3 linked regions of the Drosophila melanogaster genome follow. Changing the gene in region 1 together with any one later gene gives a genetic interaction. Each region holds a gene or a part of one and is shown on either strand. Other genes may lie near its edges. The genes, in order: or, bchs and aux.

Evidence for each region.
Region 2: of or (region 1) and bchs, changing one enhances a phenotype caused by changing the other (phenotypic enhancement), as found in Drosophila melanogaster (one study listed by BioGRID).
Region 3: of or (region 1) and aux, changing one enhances a phenotype caused by changing the other (phenotypic enhancement), as found in Drosophila melanogaster (one study listed by BioGRID).

Annotation. Positions count from the first base shown.
Region 1 is NT_033778.4:23,963,646-23,969,443, reverse strand, and holds or (orange), read right to left. Parts: upstream 1,506-5,798; 5' UTR 1,425-1,505; coding exon 1,356-1,424; intron 1,292-1,355; coding exon 1,200-1,291; intron 1,139-1,199; coding exon 936-1,138; intron 879-935; coding exon 667-878; 3' UTR 501-666; downstream 1-500. Other genes in the region: CG10904 (uncharacterized protein), read left to right, coding at 1-301; CG34213 (uncharacterized protein), read left to right, coding at 1,752-1,786, 1,838-1,928, 1,982-2,275; Alas (aminolevulinate synthase), read right to left, coding at 2,796-3,172, 3,317-4,559; Fmo-1 (Flavin-containing monooxygenase 1), read right to left, coding at 4,902-5,069, 5,134-5,669, 5,727-5,798.
Region 2 is NT_033779.5:5,905,401-5,909,000, forward strand, and holds the start of bchs (blue cheese), read left to right. Parts: upstream 1-1,768; 5' UTR 1,769-1,887; intron 1,888-2,912; 5' UTR 2,913-2,944; coding exon 2,945-3,235; intron 3,236-3,289; coding exon 3,290-3,535; exon of another isoform or gene 3,536-3,600.
Region 3 is NT_033777.3:4,208,536-4,214,647, reverse strand, and holds the start of aux (auxilin), read right to left. Parts: upstream 2,866-6,112; 5' UTR 2,836-2,865; intron 2,741-2,835; 5' UTR 2,733-2,740; intron 1-2,732.

The sequences.
Region 1 (5,798 bases):
CATAGAGAACGATGCAGAAATCTGTCAGCCTCCGAAGGTCAGCGAACCCATTCCTCCGATGCCTCCTGAACCTGCGCCGTCTTCCAAATTCGTTGATCCAAATCGAACTGTCGAAGCTCCAGCTGCTCCCTCTCCCTTCCACTTACCATTAAGTGGTCGTGATCAATGGGACGCATTTGGCGAACTAATCGCCAGTGAATTCCGTAACCTGAACTCTGAAGTTTCGCGCAAGAGGCTGAAGCGGAAAATAATGCAAGTTATGCTGGAAGTCGGCGAAGAAGATGATCTTACAAACAGTTGATTGTAGAATTATGAACATGTTTAATACAGCGGACACCGTTTTAGGTATAAATCTTTAATATATGCAGCACACAGATCATGCGAATACGTCATCGCAAGACACTTTGTATGTACATTTTAAACCCCATTCGATATAGAACGGAAGTGGTTGAACTTCGCATTGTTAAGCTATCAAAATCGTAAGGCTCGTTCTCGCTACTGGTAATTCATTTGCATTTTTATTATGGTAGGGGAGTTATATAGAGTACGTGGGACCTAATATTACGGAACAGTCGACAGCTGTTGGAAATTCATGAAGGACTGCGAAAAAGCACTAGATTCAACAGATTACAATTAGACGAGAGAGTTATATCAGACGCACATTTGTCAGAACTTAAAGTCCTTAATGGCCTGCGGCAGATCAGGTAGCTTGATGTCTTTAATCTGTTGCGGAATGTTCATACTCTTCACGGCGCTCACAGCTCGGGCAGGTGCAGCCGAGATGCCCGCTTCCTGCTTGACGATCTTGTTCTGCTCCTCGATCCTGGCCATTATGTCGTTCATATTTGTCTGCAGGACCATTCCGCCCATTACCAGTTCTGAAACGAATTCATGATAGCTGAATCTGAATGGATTGCCAAAGTAGCTTTCCCAACCTGAGAGGATGTGGTGGACGGCATCGGCGTGGAATATCAGGTCCAGCTCACACACGTTTTCGAAGCACTTGTCGAGGGTTTCCACGAACACCTGAATCAGGTCCAGGATTCCCAGTTCGCTCTCCGAGGAGTCCACGCAGAAAACGAAGTACAGCGTGGCATAGTGTCTGTAGATGAGTTTGTAATCCGATCCGCCAATCAAACTGTTGGAGGAAAGAGGTGCTTTAAGATATTCCAGGAATTTGCGGGAACAATATTGCTCACCTTCCGCCCTCCAGAAAGTTGCAAACATTATCGTCCCGCTTGGACACCAATTGGAAAGTCTCTTTGATTATTTGTTGCTGCAGGCTTTCATCCTACAAATGATAGTGACAATTTATTATGAACTAGATTATATGGATTATATGTCGCAGTACTTACGAAATACTGATAGAACTTCGATAGCCGCGGCTTCCCGTGATTGTTAAAAACGAGAATGGCTTTTATCATCTCAACTTCTAAGATAAGTCAACAAAAAAAATGAAAATGTTTAAACTGCCAGCTGTTTTGCTTTTTCGACGAGGGCTGCAAAATCAATACTTGGTATAGCATCTATAATATCGATATATCTTTATCTGACGTATTTATTTCAAAAATCTAATAAGAATCATGCATATTTTAGAAAGTTAGGGAAAATATATTTTTTAAAGCAATTTCTTAAATCGGGTGTTAAAAATCCGTACAAAAAAAAATTCTATGGATTTCTGATTGTTGCCCATCTCTAATGCCTTTAACCTCGCGGTCTCCGATTTGTTTATTTCTTATTTTTATTGAATTATGAATATTTTGACAAAAGTAAAATACAGCTGCAGGTACTCTGGGTTTTATTTTGTAACTCCCTTTAGTTAACGTATAGTTTGCAGGGTGAGCTCGGTTTTAAACAGAGATGTGAAGCAGCACGGAAAGCAATTCATGTTTGATACGCGGGAAGAAACTTCTTGGAATTCAGATGAGGTATCATCCTAAGATTTGGAAAAAAAGAATATAACTCCAAACGGCCATTTCAGGGAACCCCCCAATTCATTACCATTAGCTTGGAGGAGCCACAGAAAGTAGCTGGATTTAGTTTCCAGTTCCAAGGCGGATTCTCTGGCCAAAAATCCGAACTGATCATGTACTCCGCTGACGGAGCCCAAGTTCACCAAGAGCCATTCTACCCAGAAGATATCAACTCCCCACAGCTTTTTCAGATTGCGGAATCAGTCCGGGAAAACCCCTGCTCAAAGCTAAAGTTCGTCTTCGAGTCCAGCACCGATCTATTTGGTAGAATCATTGTTTACGATCTCCAGCTGTTCGGCTAGTCTCTGACCCAATAGATCTTACTAAATGTGTACAAAATCTTCTCTAATCAAAGTGTATAAAATCGGATCATTATCTATTGTGGTATTATCAAAAACATTGGTCCGTAATAGGATGGTCATGGTTATCAGCAATAATTGTGCTGATTCAGCCTGCCACTGCTGAAATTGATATGCGACTAATTTCATATAAATATTTCAAACTAGGTAAGCCCTTTAAGTGCTTACGAGTGTGGATCAAGGTTCAATGAAAATATTTCCACGCGATTCCCCAATTTGAATATCATTTGCATGGAGCTGGCTCGAAAAACACGCAACTTCATAGCGAAGGTGACACTCTAGTCCATGTCTTATCACCCCATATAGAAGCGTCATCAATCAGCTTAGCCCATTCCAATTGAAATTTCGTCATTTATGTATATTGCACCAAAACCATTGTTTATTTGTCCAAAACCGCACAGATAATTTAGGCATAGCTTTATGATTCGAATGCTTCATTTATAGTCGTGTTTCCAAGAGGCAACTATGCTGCAAGCGAGATCTCCAGGCGAGGGCAGTTGGGAATGCCACACTCCAGATCCGGGGAGGTGTCCTGGTGCCAGCAGCTCTCCGAGTTGCAGAACATGCATGCGTTGGGCGAAAGAGGGACGTTTGTAGAGAGGTCCACCATTTCCCACACTTTCTTTAGATCGGTAACCAGGGCGTTCATCATTTCAAAAGTGTGGAACGGGGTGGGGGCCAGCCGCAATTTCTCCTGGCCCCGGGCGACGGTTGGGTAGTTAATCGACTGCAGGTAGTGTCCGAATTGTTCGATCAGCACGTTTGAGATTTGACTGCTCTTCAGAGGGTCTCCGATCTTAATGGGAATGATGTGGCTGGGCGTTTCTTCGACGGGGAAACCTGAAATGGGGCCAATTATATATGCAGTCAGTAAACTGAAAGTTAAGTGTCTCTTTCTATATTTATAGCCATCACTTAAAATAAAACGAAAGTGCGAGAATAACCTTCAATTCGAGTTACATAAATGCCAGAATTACGTCTTACCTTCTCGCTTCAGCAGGCTCTTCAGGTAGGAGACGTTCCGTTGGTGCAAGTGGCGCAGCTGGCGACCCTCCTCCGATGCCAGGATATTGACGGCCTCCAGGGCGCCACACAGTACAGTCGGCGGTAGTGAGGTGGTGAAGATGAAACCGGCCGCATACGACCGAATCATGTCGACCAGGTTATGGGTGCCAGCTATGTAGCCACCAATATTACCGAACGCCTTGCCCAGGGTGCCCGATATGATGTCCATTTTGTGCAGCACACCATCCCGCTCACCGACCCCGGCCCCGTGGTCACCGTACAATCCCACGGCGTGCACCTCGTCGATGAACGTGATGGCCCCGTGCTCGTGGGCCACGTCAAGCAGCTCCTCGAGCGGGCAGATGGCCCCCGTCATGGAATGTACCGTCTCGAATGCGACGATCTTGGGCACGCTTTTGTCCGTCTGCTTCAGCAGCTGATGCAAGTGGTCCACGTCGTTGTGCCGGAAGATGTGCTTGGGAACCCCGCTGTTCCGTATGCCCATAATCATGGAAGCGTGGTTCCCTGCGTCCGAGAAGATCTCGCACCCAGGTAAGAGCTTGGCGAGCGTAAAGAGAGTGGAATCGTTGGCCACGAAGCACGACGTGAACAGCAGCGCAGCCTCCTTCTGGTGGAGCTCAGCCAGCTTACTCTCGAGGCGCTCGTGGTGAAGAGAGTTACCCGAAATGTTCCTGGTGCCGCCAGCCCCCGATCCGTGCCTATTGAGCGCGTCCTGGACGGCCCTCTTGACGCCGGGGTGGGCGGACATTCCCAGGTAGTCATTGGAGCACCACACCGTAATGGGCTTTTCCGTCCGCTCCGAGTACTCCAGGGCGTGGGGGAAAAGCCCGTCGCCTGCCAGGCGGTTCACCTTCTTGAAGACCCTGTAGGAATGGTCCCGCTTCTTCTTCATGATCTGCTCGTTGAAGAAGCGCTCGTAGGGAAAGGTCTCCTTGGCGGATGCCTTGCCAGGATCGGCAGAGGCGGGGGCGGAGACGGGAGCGGTGGCGTTGGCAGTTGCGGGGCCACCAGCATTGGCGTGGGCGTTCGCCCCCGTCGAGTGAGACCTTGTAACACTTGCGGCGACGAGTGAAAGTTTCTTCTCGCCGGATACCAAGGTCTTCCCAACCACGGGACAGTGGCTCCCGTAGGATTGGCACAGCGTCTCCGCGTAGTTGCGGATGAAGCTGGCGGTGAAGCGGTTCAAGAACGGACACTGCATGACGAGGCGCTATTCCACTTTTGAAGACCCGACCTAAATCAGCGAACTTTGAAAGCGAAGTGAGGTGTTCCGAAAATTATGCAAGAAGGTGATTGCGAGGAGGCGGGCGAGTGTGGCCAGAGCTGGTGAATGTGCGCTGCCCGCAATCAGCTGTTTGGAAAAATACCAACAAACATGTTCAAACAAATGTTTGCCGGTGTTCAAAAAGTTTTTGTTCGAGAATAAAAGCTCATTTTTTAAACTGTTGTTTTGGAATACAAGAATTGGAAATTTATTTTATTTCGAAGGGAAGTCCAAAAACGATGTTTTGGAATCTAATGCTCCTATTGATTGATTCAGGATCTAGTTGAGTTTAATGAATGTCTCGTCGTCCAGAATCGCGAAATTGTCCTCCCGGAAGTGGAGCAAATTCTCATTGAAGCACTTGCTGCTTTCGTTGTGCAATTTGGTCATCACAGGCTTGATGTTCTTAACTCCTGCAGTTTGCGACAAGTCCGTGAAATAGTCGATCTTGATAATAAATGAGAATAGAATTAATAACCAGATAGAGAAGTAAAGCCAACTTGCATCGCACTTGCTTGGGACCCAGCATGTGGGCATGGCGTTTTCTTAGTCCCTCCGCCCACAGTTTGCCCATCCTATCGCGGGTGTCCTTGAGCATATCCTCCGTGGACGGCAACTCGTTGGATCCGTTGTAGTAGCTCATGATGAACCTCGCTTGGATGTCCATCATTTGGGCGGCACAAACGTAAAACGGCAGTCCGATCAGAGCCATGGATGGGTTCCTGATGTTGATGCACTGCTTGTACAGCTCCTGGACGTAGTTGTCCTCCACATAGATGCCCGAGTCGACGGTCAGGAAGGGAAAGGCGTACTTGTAACCTGTGCAAAAGAAGACGGTGTCGAACTCCTGGTACGATCCGTCCACGAAAAAGGCTCCCTTCTCATCGAGCTCCCGCACATCGGGTTTCTGCTGTACGTTCTCGAAGAATGAGTGTTGCCCGATATCGGTCAAGTGGTGACTTATGGTGACCCGATCCGCCGTTCGGGAAATGATGTTCGACAGGTCCATGCCACTGGGACCAGCTCCAATGACCAGAACGGATTTACCTTGAGCAGAATGGAACACCATGTGAAATAACCTAATAGAAGTTATTCCTTAATTACCTTCGAAAACCTCCCTACTTCTGAAGTCGTGGCTGTGCAGGAACTGCCCTTTAAACCTTTCCATATTCGGAA
Region 2 (3,600 bases), on another chromosome or scaffold:
GGAATATCCTTGGCCGCCGCCCGGGGTCTTGCCAATTTCGATACGCAAATGTTTCGCTCATTGTCAACAACAGCGTCGTGATGAAGTGGAGGACTCTGGGGCGAAAAATAAAAGTTATTCGTTCCGACAGAAAGGGGGAAGCCCCGCCTAATGAGTCCCCCATGAATGCTGTGCAAATGATTTTTGGGGTTACACTTTTAAATTTTCCGGAAACGCCTCGAGCAGCATATGCGGTCCTCGGAAAATTCACTTAAAAATCCACTTAAAATTTTGCTGGGTATTGCACTTCACCTTTAAAGGAAGATTAAGCGGATGAAATAGGCTGATGTCACTTTACTCATAAGAGTTTGTATGTAAATAGAATGTTCGCGCCAACTTCACGAGTTTTTTTTTTTAGTGCGCTATCAATCTACCGAATATCATTTTACTGGTCTACCCCTTCTTGGCACCTGAGATATTGTTCCCGTTTTTGTCAGTTGTAGGGGGCCTCTATTTATAACTGAAACGGAAAAATCCATTAGAATATTGCCGCAGACAAAGGACTTTCCCCACAACCCTGCCCCACAAATCGCGGTGGGGGGTTTGTCGGGCGGGAAAGTGCGCAAAGTACCTGTCTGGGTGGGAAGATATAATACCTGGAGAAGTGCCAATCCCAAACGCTTTCCCACATAAACAAGCATTAGGGAACTCCGAGCTTAGCTTATGTGGCTGGCTGGCTAGCTGGAAAACTGAAGAGGACTGTGGGAGCGGGTGGATACGGGCAGTCACGCAAGGGGTCAGTGGGCGTGGCGGGGCCAACGCCCAAAGGTAAACTATTTTTGGGGAGCGAGGCAGTTGGTCATGGGGATAACTACTAACTAAATATTTAGCACGACACGCCTTTATTCTTTTGCACCCCTAATTGATTCAAAAACGAAATTTTATCCGCATTAAAATGGGGAGACACAGCGAATTGGTTTCGGGTACAGGGAAATTAGATCAGAAGGACGTGCGTGGCATTTAATGGCCTTACCAATCAATCAATCCCAATAAACTTACAGCATTCTCTGCCACAAATGAGTCAGCAAATAGCATCATTATCAACGCATGAAGTTCGCCATCGGGTGTTCGTTCAATCAATATGCAAATAAATTTGTTGTCATATCCGACAGCTATCTGTTGATGCTGACAATTATAACAACTGTAAGTACAAACACAAATATTAATAACCCCTAGCCAGAATCAATAAAGAATCTCACACTCATGCGAATATTGGGCGAGAGAGAAATTTGGAAATTAATGGCCAATGGCCTAAGAATACCAATTGTTAGCCGAGATGCGAAAGCACTCATATAATATTATTAACAATAATGAACTTAATTATGAGCACACATGAACATTAAGTAAGTGCTAATTAAGTATCAATTTAGATGCTAAGTTTATGAGATAAATCAGTTTAGTTCTATTAAACTGTTGCCATTAGTTTAGTAAGCGATCTAATATATACAATCTGAAGATAAGCACATCGTTGGCGACATACAAAAGATTTTGTATTAAATAAAAATAATAAAATGAAGTAGATTAATACAAATCGGTCTTGTTTATTTGCTTATCAGTACAGTTGAATTTGAAATGCCAAAGCTAGACCGCCGATCATAATTCAAAATGCAGCACTGGCGTTTGGTCTTAATGAGCACTGGCTGCGGTGGTGGAAAATGTGAACAGCTGATACCACTGGCAGCGCTACGCAACACTCGACAGAATAACGAAAAGAGAGTACAGACGAAAAGCTGGAGAAAATTTGGTTCATATTTTCATACGTGAAACAAGATGTAAAACGAGTGCATTTAGGGCCCAAAATAGTGAAAACTCACACGGGAAACACAATGCTAGCGACGGATAGCAAAAGTAAGTGACGGCTGCACGAAATAAGCCGGAAAAGTGCATGTGAAAATTTTCAAATTCGACCTATCTGCTGGTTTGTTCAAGGGTGGGTGGCGGGCAGAGAGGCCGAGTGAGAGTACGCGAGAGAGGAAGAAAAATCAATAAAATTGTCGTGAGGCGCGATTGACTGGAGCAAAACAAAGTGCGACACGAAAGAGAGCGCTAAGCGGACTACGAAAAAGCAACAACAGAGCGGCCGTTAGCTGAACCAAATGCGTTGGCAGAAAAGAGAGGTCAGATAGTCGGTAGTTTCAAAGGGAGTTGGAGTAAACAAACAAGTGCGCAATAAGTAAACCAAGAACAGCTGTCTCGCACAAAATGTAAATATTTCCCGAATATATGGAATAATAACCACTATCGGTTAATCGCTTGCTCGCTATGTAGGCGTACGAATCGAATCGAGTCGGCGACAGAGGCAACGTTCATTCACTCGCGAAAAGTTAATACTCGCACCGAATACAATGATCGCACTTTTCGTGTGATTCACCTCCAGCGGCCGCTAATTAAGGCGGCGGCAGCAGAAATAGAATAGCTGCGAAAACAAGCCATAACGCCAACTGCACTGTGCGCGGTTGTGATTTGGAAGCCACTCAATTGAAAGTGTCAGTGCTGTGCAAATAAATCGCCAAAATATCTCACCTCCAATGTTCAAAAGATACAATATCTACAATAAGCACAGGTTCTATGGAAACATATGTTTAAATGCGAAGCGACACGTTTTGAACTGAAACCTGCATGAAAGTGGGAAAGTTCATTAAACTACAGCAGTAAAAAGTTTCAAAATACTATGAAATATCTTTTTACACCTTTATCGAATAATATATAATCTTTTTAAACGGCATAACATTGTAAACAAGTGAATCACCATTATTAAAACACATGTAGAAAGTGCCACCCCCTTGCAAAAAAATCAATGACATTCCTCATAGTACAGCCATTAGATTAGTCTTATATTTTGTATTAAGTCAACTTAATTTTCTCTCTTTTAGATTAATCTTACCGCAAATCAACAAACACAAAGATGAATGTAATGCGTAAGCTGCGCGGAGCGGCCAGCGCAGGCAGCGTCAGCGGCAGCAGTAGCGGAACCTCGACGGCGAACAACAGTTCACCAGGGAGCAGCAGAACGGATGCTGGTGCACCGACCGCTGCAAATGGACGGAATGCGGAGGAGGCGCTGATGGACGCCCGCGTCCAAGTGAGCCTCACCACGCTAAAGAAGCTATTCAACGAATACACTCATCCGCGGGAGCCGCTGAGCGAACAGGAGCGCGATGACAAGCTCTACGAGATGCTGCCCCTCTTCTGCAAAGTGAGTGAATCAGTCGGTATGGAGGAATAGGCCACTAACTCCCCATTCTTACAGGTCTTCAGCAGCTGTCCGTCAAACGACATGAGCGAAAAGTTCTGGGACGTGGTCGCCTTCTGCCAGCAAGTGTCCCGTCTCATGGTCAGCGAAATCCGCAAGCGCGCCTCCAACCAGAGCACAGAGGCGGCATCCATTGCCATAGTCAAGTTTCTCGAGGTGGAAACCACCGAGGAAACCAGCAGCGGATGGATGCTTTTGGCTACCCTCAATTTGTTGGCCAATGGAGACGTATCTCTCATACAGGTATGTTTCATTTATAAACTGCTATAGTATCTTATGGTAAAAATACATCGACGTAATCAAAACAA
Region 3 (6,112 bases), on another chromosome or scaffold:
ATAATTTAACGCTGGGCATCGCGGCGGCGAGCTATCTTGGAAGTTACGATCTCGGCATTTCTCATCTCATTGCGCATCGTCCGCCACGAAAATACGAATGTGTGGATAAGTAAAGAGCTCGTTTTGGGCCCTCCACCTTGGGTGGGAAATGTTAATCATAAAAAGTAAAAGTAAAATATTACGGGTCGAGTCAGCACTAGCTTCGTTAGCCGCCCCTCGCATTTGCATTTCGCACATGGCAGTGGCGACAGCCACTGCACCAGCTGGCAGGCACAGAAAACGTCGTCGTCGTCGATTACAATCGATTGCCTACGCGGGCTACACGGGAAAAAATCTGAGTTAGGGGGAGCACCAAGTAGCTGTGCTGATGTGTAATATCTGTACCGGTCGAGCCCTGGCCACGTCCAAATCCCTCTGGGACGTGTAAATTGAAGTATGAGCTGAGCCCCGAAAGAATCATATTCATTCTCGCAGTGTACTTGTGCCACCGACCCCTTTGATTTGGGTTCAACCTCTCCAGCTGGAGGCGTGAGCGATTGCAGGCGTGGCCGCCATTTAAATTCAGTCTTTGTTGTATGCCCGCCTCACAATATCCGACGCGTTGCAGAGCAAACTCGACTTGATTGACACCTGACAGGGGCCCCAAGAAGTTAATGGAAGCCCAATTGAGCCTCCCCCTCTTTAGGTCACAGAGAGAGCTGGTTTCGCCGGGGCAGCTATTCTAAGCAACGTGGCTGTAAGCCCGTGATTAAGTGGATTCCGAATGCAAAAGACATCGCTCTCTGCATGACTCGAATCGAATCAAGGGAAACTATAAGTGCAGACTGCATTTCAAATTTCATCACTCGTCCCCAAGCCGCTGTTATGCGACGCTTATGACCGCAACAGTGGGCTACGCTCGAGATGAATGTCTTGGCTTCCGCCTCTTACTCATCGCTACAATCTTCAGATGGCGTTAGTGACGTAATTCTTAGCGGTAAGCAGTGACCCAAAAGACGGACCGCTGTCCAAATTTAACTGCAGTGTCAACTCTGTCAAAGTCTCCCGACCGGAGAGGACGGAACGGCTGAAAAGAGTCCTGAAAGTCCGTACAGTTCAAGTTCGGAACTAGTTTTAACGCTCTTAGGGTAACTTTGTCGAATCGGTATGCGATCGAGATTGTCAATGAGCATGGTCTATTAGGTGGTATAATTATCTTGTTTGCCTAGTGTGTTCTCAGAATTATTTAAAATGGTTCTCCGAAAAACTATTGAAATACTAATGAAAGTAAAGCTTGCCTACCTATTGTAAAAGTAAGCTCTTCGAAACAAATTCTGTTTTGTCCAAATGGGAGTACATTTTATTCGATTTCTTTAAAAATTATAAACCTCCGAATGAATGTTTCATTTTCATTTGAAGTGTCAGCTATTAGCACAATTAGTAATTATTTCTATGTGCATGACAAATTTGAACAAAGGGCGATAATAACGTTTAGTCTTGCGAAGTTAATTTTCAATTTAAGGAAGTACCTTGGCCAGCATGACATCTCGTCTCGGGAACAATTAACACAATTGTCTTGCCAGATTCTGTCGATATTCCGAAATATTTTAAGACTACCTATTGCATTTAGTAGCACAGTTTTGCAATCATTAAATAAAAATAAATCGGTTAATACTAATCAATTTTATCATGGAAAAATTGGCAACTATGTTTTGGAAACAAAGAAAAACACTAAAGAATTTACAGGTATTTGCTGTGCCCTTGTCCCGATTTCTAGCAATAAATCGATTTGCTGACCGCGTAATCTTTAGGAATAGGGTTCATGGCCACCTGCAAGCAAGCCAAGTCATAGGAAGAAGCGATAGCGTGGATTTAGGCAGGAGTATTGGAGAAGAGGCGCAAAGCGATGTAGTTGGCCGAGTCGAGTTGAAAGTGAAAGTTTTGCCGAGCAGAGCGCAGCGATTTGCGTCGACGAGCAATGCTCGGTTAGCCACCCAGAGCTCCATTGTCAGCGGCAATAGTAGCGGCGGACGTGAACTTTAGCGGCCGCGTTTGAGTTGAAAACGCAATTTACAATTTTCCTAATTGTTTCTTTCAGCTTTTTGTCGGCCAATTTTCCTTTATTAGTTACTTATTGGATTGTCGTTAGCGTGACCGAGGCGTATGCGTAATATCTTTGCCAACGCCCGATGAGAAAATCGAATTGCCGGTAATCGTCGCATTGACCGCTCACAGAAAGCGTTACCCAGCAGAATAGAAAGACAGAAAGATCTCTAGACGAATCTTTATCATCTTATTTTTCATCTCTCATTTGTGGTTCATTTAATGCAAATTATGGTATCGATTACTTCTGTTTTGAATGTTGAACTTTCCAGTTTCATTCGACCAGAAGATGAATGATCTTAGGTAGAGCACGTTGTTACTCAGGAAATGCGGCTTTCGACGTTTCAGCATCGTTTCCGTCAAAGTAAAAACTGTAGCGTGCAAACGAAAGTTTCAATTTATTTGGTGTTTCGCTTTCTGAGCCCAACGCACCCAGCACATCACGCAAAAGCAGCCAAACTGCAGAGGAGCAGCCATACCTGGCCTGTAAATAATTTATTTGAGAACACGCGGGAAATCTGTTAAGCCAGCATTCCTTATTTATTGGATATTGATTGCAATAGCACTGAAGCGGGTAATCGTCATTATTTTAACAGCTATTCTTAACTTTTGTTTTCCACTTTTGTTGATTATCGCCTAATTTCTAATACCAAGTCAGCTAAGTTGCGGAAGAAACCAGTTTAATTAATTTTTAATAAATTTATTAAAACCATTATTATTATATTATTATTATTATCGTCAGAAATTTGATACCAGAAATTTATAAATACTGGAAGCTTGCGGCACAAACAAAAAGCAATGGATGGCAGAGACTGGTTATATCGAAAAAAACACATCGAAAGGGATGGTAAAATCTTTTTTTAGTACCTTATGAACGGGCTGTTGAAATTATTTTGAAGTGTGTTATAAGAAAAAATACAATTTTAGCCGCCGTTTACAGAAGTTAATATTCTAATACAATTTCACGTGTCTCTTTTATTTTGATCTGTCCTTTAGCTTGGTTCAACAGCGACTGACTGCCGCGCTCTCTGCAGAGTGGCGAGTCGATTAGTCGATAAGTTTCTCGATAATATTTGTATGTTAAGGATGGGTGTATGAGTGTATAAGCTTATGACTAGATTGGCTATGTATAATTAGGTATGTATGACTAAGAGTAAAGGAAGAGGGTAGAAGGAGCAGCCTACTACAACTCGGCCGTCCTGACAACTAGATCTCCCGATCGTAGGATTTTATAACAATTAACGTTTCTTAAAGCTAAGGGTCCTGTTTCTTATTTTATTCTTCTTAGTGGAGATACTTTTGAACGGTCTTAAACATTTTTTTGGTTTTCTTTTCTTCTTGTTTGTTTTCTTTGTTTTACAATTGCTTCTTAAATTATACTTTCTATTTCGTACAGAGTTTCTTAAATTATACTTTCTATTTTGTACAGAGTTTCTCAAATTATACTTTCTATTTTGTACAGAGTTTCTCAAATTATACTTTCTATTTTGTAGACTCTTAATTTTTCTTTGCCAGTGTTTTATATTCTGTATGCTCCATACACCCCGGTAAGGATTGCGAGAAATTTGAAATCCATCAACATCTTCCAGAAGGAAGCGATCATTTTTGAGAACTTTGCTTATGACATAGGGTCCTTTATGCTTTGGAATTAACTTCTTAGCTATGCCTGTTGTTGAGTCAAAATTTTTAACCATGACGTAGTCGCCTTTTGTGAACACTCCTGATCGTTTTCGTTTTTTGTCAACATATTCTTTATTGTATGCTTGTGCTATTTTCTGACTTGCCTCGCCTTTATTTCTAATACTTTCTAAATCTCTTTCTTCAATCGTTTCTCCAATTTCCTCAATTTTTTCTTTTAACTCATCCATAATTTGTCCTTTTTGTTGTAACCCAAATAACATTATGCTAGGATACTGTTTAATGCTGCGGTGTAGTGTATTGTTCAGGGTATATTCGACCTTTTCTAAGACTAAGTCCCAGTGTAGACCTTGATCAGGTTCAATTAACTTGCTAATCATTGGACCAAGACTTCGGTTTATACGTTCAACTTGACCGTTGGCTTGTGGCGATCCTGTTGCAATTTTTATGTGTTTAACATTGCATTCTTTCAAAAATGAGTCAAAATCGCCAGACGTGAAACATGCTCCTCTATCTGATATGATACACTTAGGCCTACTGTATGCTCTGAAGTAGTCATTTAACGATTGTATGACTTCTTTTGTGTTCGTAGTTTTTGTTGCGTATAGTCTGACAAACTTTGTGAATGCATCTACTATCACTAGAATATGTTTCTTCGGTCTAGCCAAGTCTACTGGACCATAATGGTCAATATGGATTATTTCAAAAGGTTTGTTTCCCTTAGGTATGTTGTGTAGAAATCCTTCTGTTTTTCCTGTTTTGGGACTGAATGAAATACATTTTAAACAGTTGCTGATATGTGTGCTACACTTCTGTTTTAAATTTGGAAACCAATAGTTTTTCATTATAGCTTCTATCATTTTGTCTCTTCCTACGTGTCCAAGTTCGTTGTGATATTTGTATAACACTTGTTCTTCCATTTCTATCGGAACGTAGAACAGCAATCTATTTTCATTTGTCTTTTTGTAAACTATACCATTTCTCATCTCATACAATTTATTTTCTGTGTTTTCTAACAATTGCCTGATTTCTTTTAATTTTGTATCTTTCCCTTGACATATAACTAGATTATCTTCGAAACTGTTTGTTTGTATTACCATAATATTTGTACACCTACTCAGTGCGTCAACATGTTGCATGCGGCTACCTGCCCTATGCACAATTTCAAAATCATAACCTTGGAATTCTAAAGCCCACCTGGCTATCCTAGGGTTTAGCTCTTTTTTGCTTAGGGTCAAAATTAATGAGTTGCAGTCGGTGACTATTTTAAATGTCCTCCAATGAAGATAAACTCTAAATCTACGTAACGAATAAACAATGGCTAAAGTTTCTAACTCGAAACTGTGGTATTTTGATTCAATATCTGTTGTCCGTTTTGAAAAGAATGAAACTGGGTGCCATTTCTGGTCCTCCTTCTTTTGCATAAGTACAGCACCGAATCCAGAAGAACTTGCATCACAATGCAATTCTGTTTCGTGTTTATGGTTGTATATAGCTAAGACCGGTGACTGTATTAATTTATCTTTTAACATATTAAAACAAATCATTTCTTCACTACCAAATTTGAACGGTTTATCTTTTTTTAGAATGTCATGCAATGGTTTAGCTAGTCTAGAAAAATCTTTTATAAACCGTCGAAAATATGAGCATAATCCCAAAAAACTTTGTACTGTATGAGCATTATTAGGTATTGGGAAATTTTTTATTGCCTCGATTCCTTTGTCATTGGGCATTATGCCGTCTTTATTTATTATGAACCCAAGATATTTTATACTCGATTGCATAAACTCACATTTGTCTATTCTTAATTCAAGTTTATTTTCAACTAATCTTTTAAAAATTTCTTTCAACGTTTCTAAGTGTTCGTTTATATTTTCGGTTGCCAATAGAATGTCGTCCATATATACTACTACTTTGTTTTCTCTAATCATATCAGCAAAAATTTTGTTAACAAATCTTTGGAACACAGACGGGGCGTTTTTGAGGCCAAATGGCATTCGCAGCCACTCGTATTGGCCTAATGGTGTAACGAAAGAGGTGTATTTTATTGATTCTTTTTTAACATGCACGTGGAAAAAACCGTTTTTAAGATCGAGTTTGGTGAAAACAGTTTTCTCATTCATTCTATCTAACAAGTCATCTATAAGAGGTAGAGGATAGTTGTCTTTCATTGTCATTTTATTAAGTTTTCTAAAGTCGACGCACATACGTAAGTCTCCAGTTTTCTTTTTCACTAAAACAATAGGCGATGCATATTCCGAGTCGCTTGGTCGTATAAATCCGTTTTCCAAATATTCGTCTAATAGTTTTTGTAACCTGTCTTTTTCTGTGTATGAAAGCCTCCTAGGAGAACAGCTAAACGGTTTCGGGTTTTTCAAACACAATTGTATTT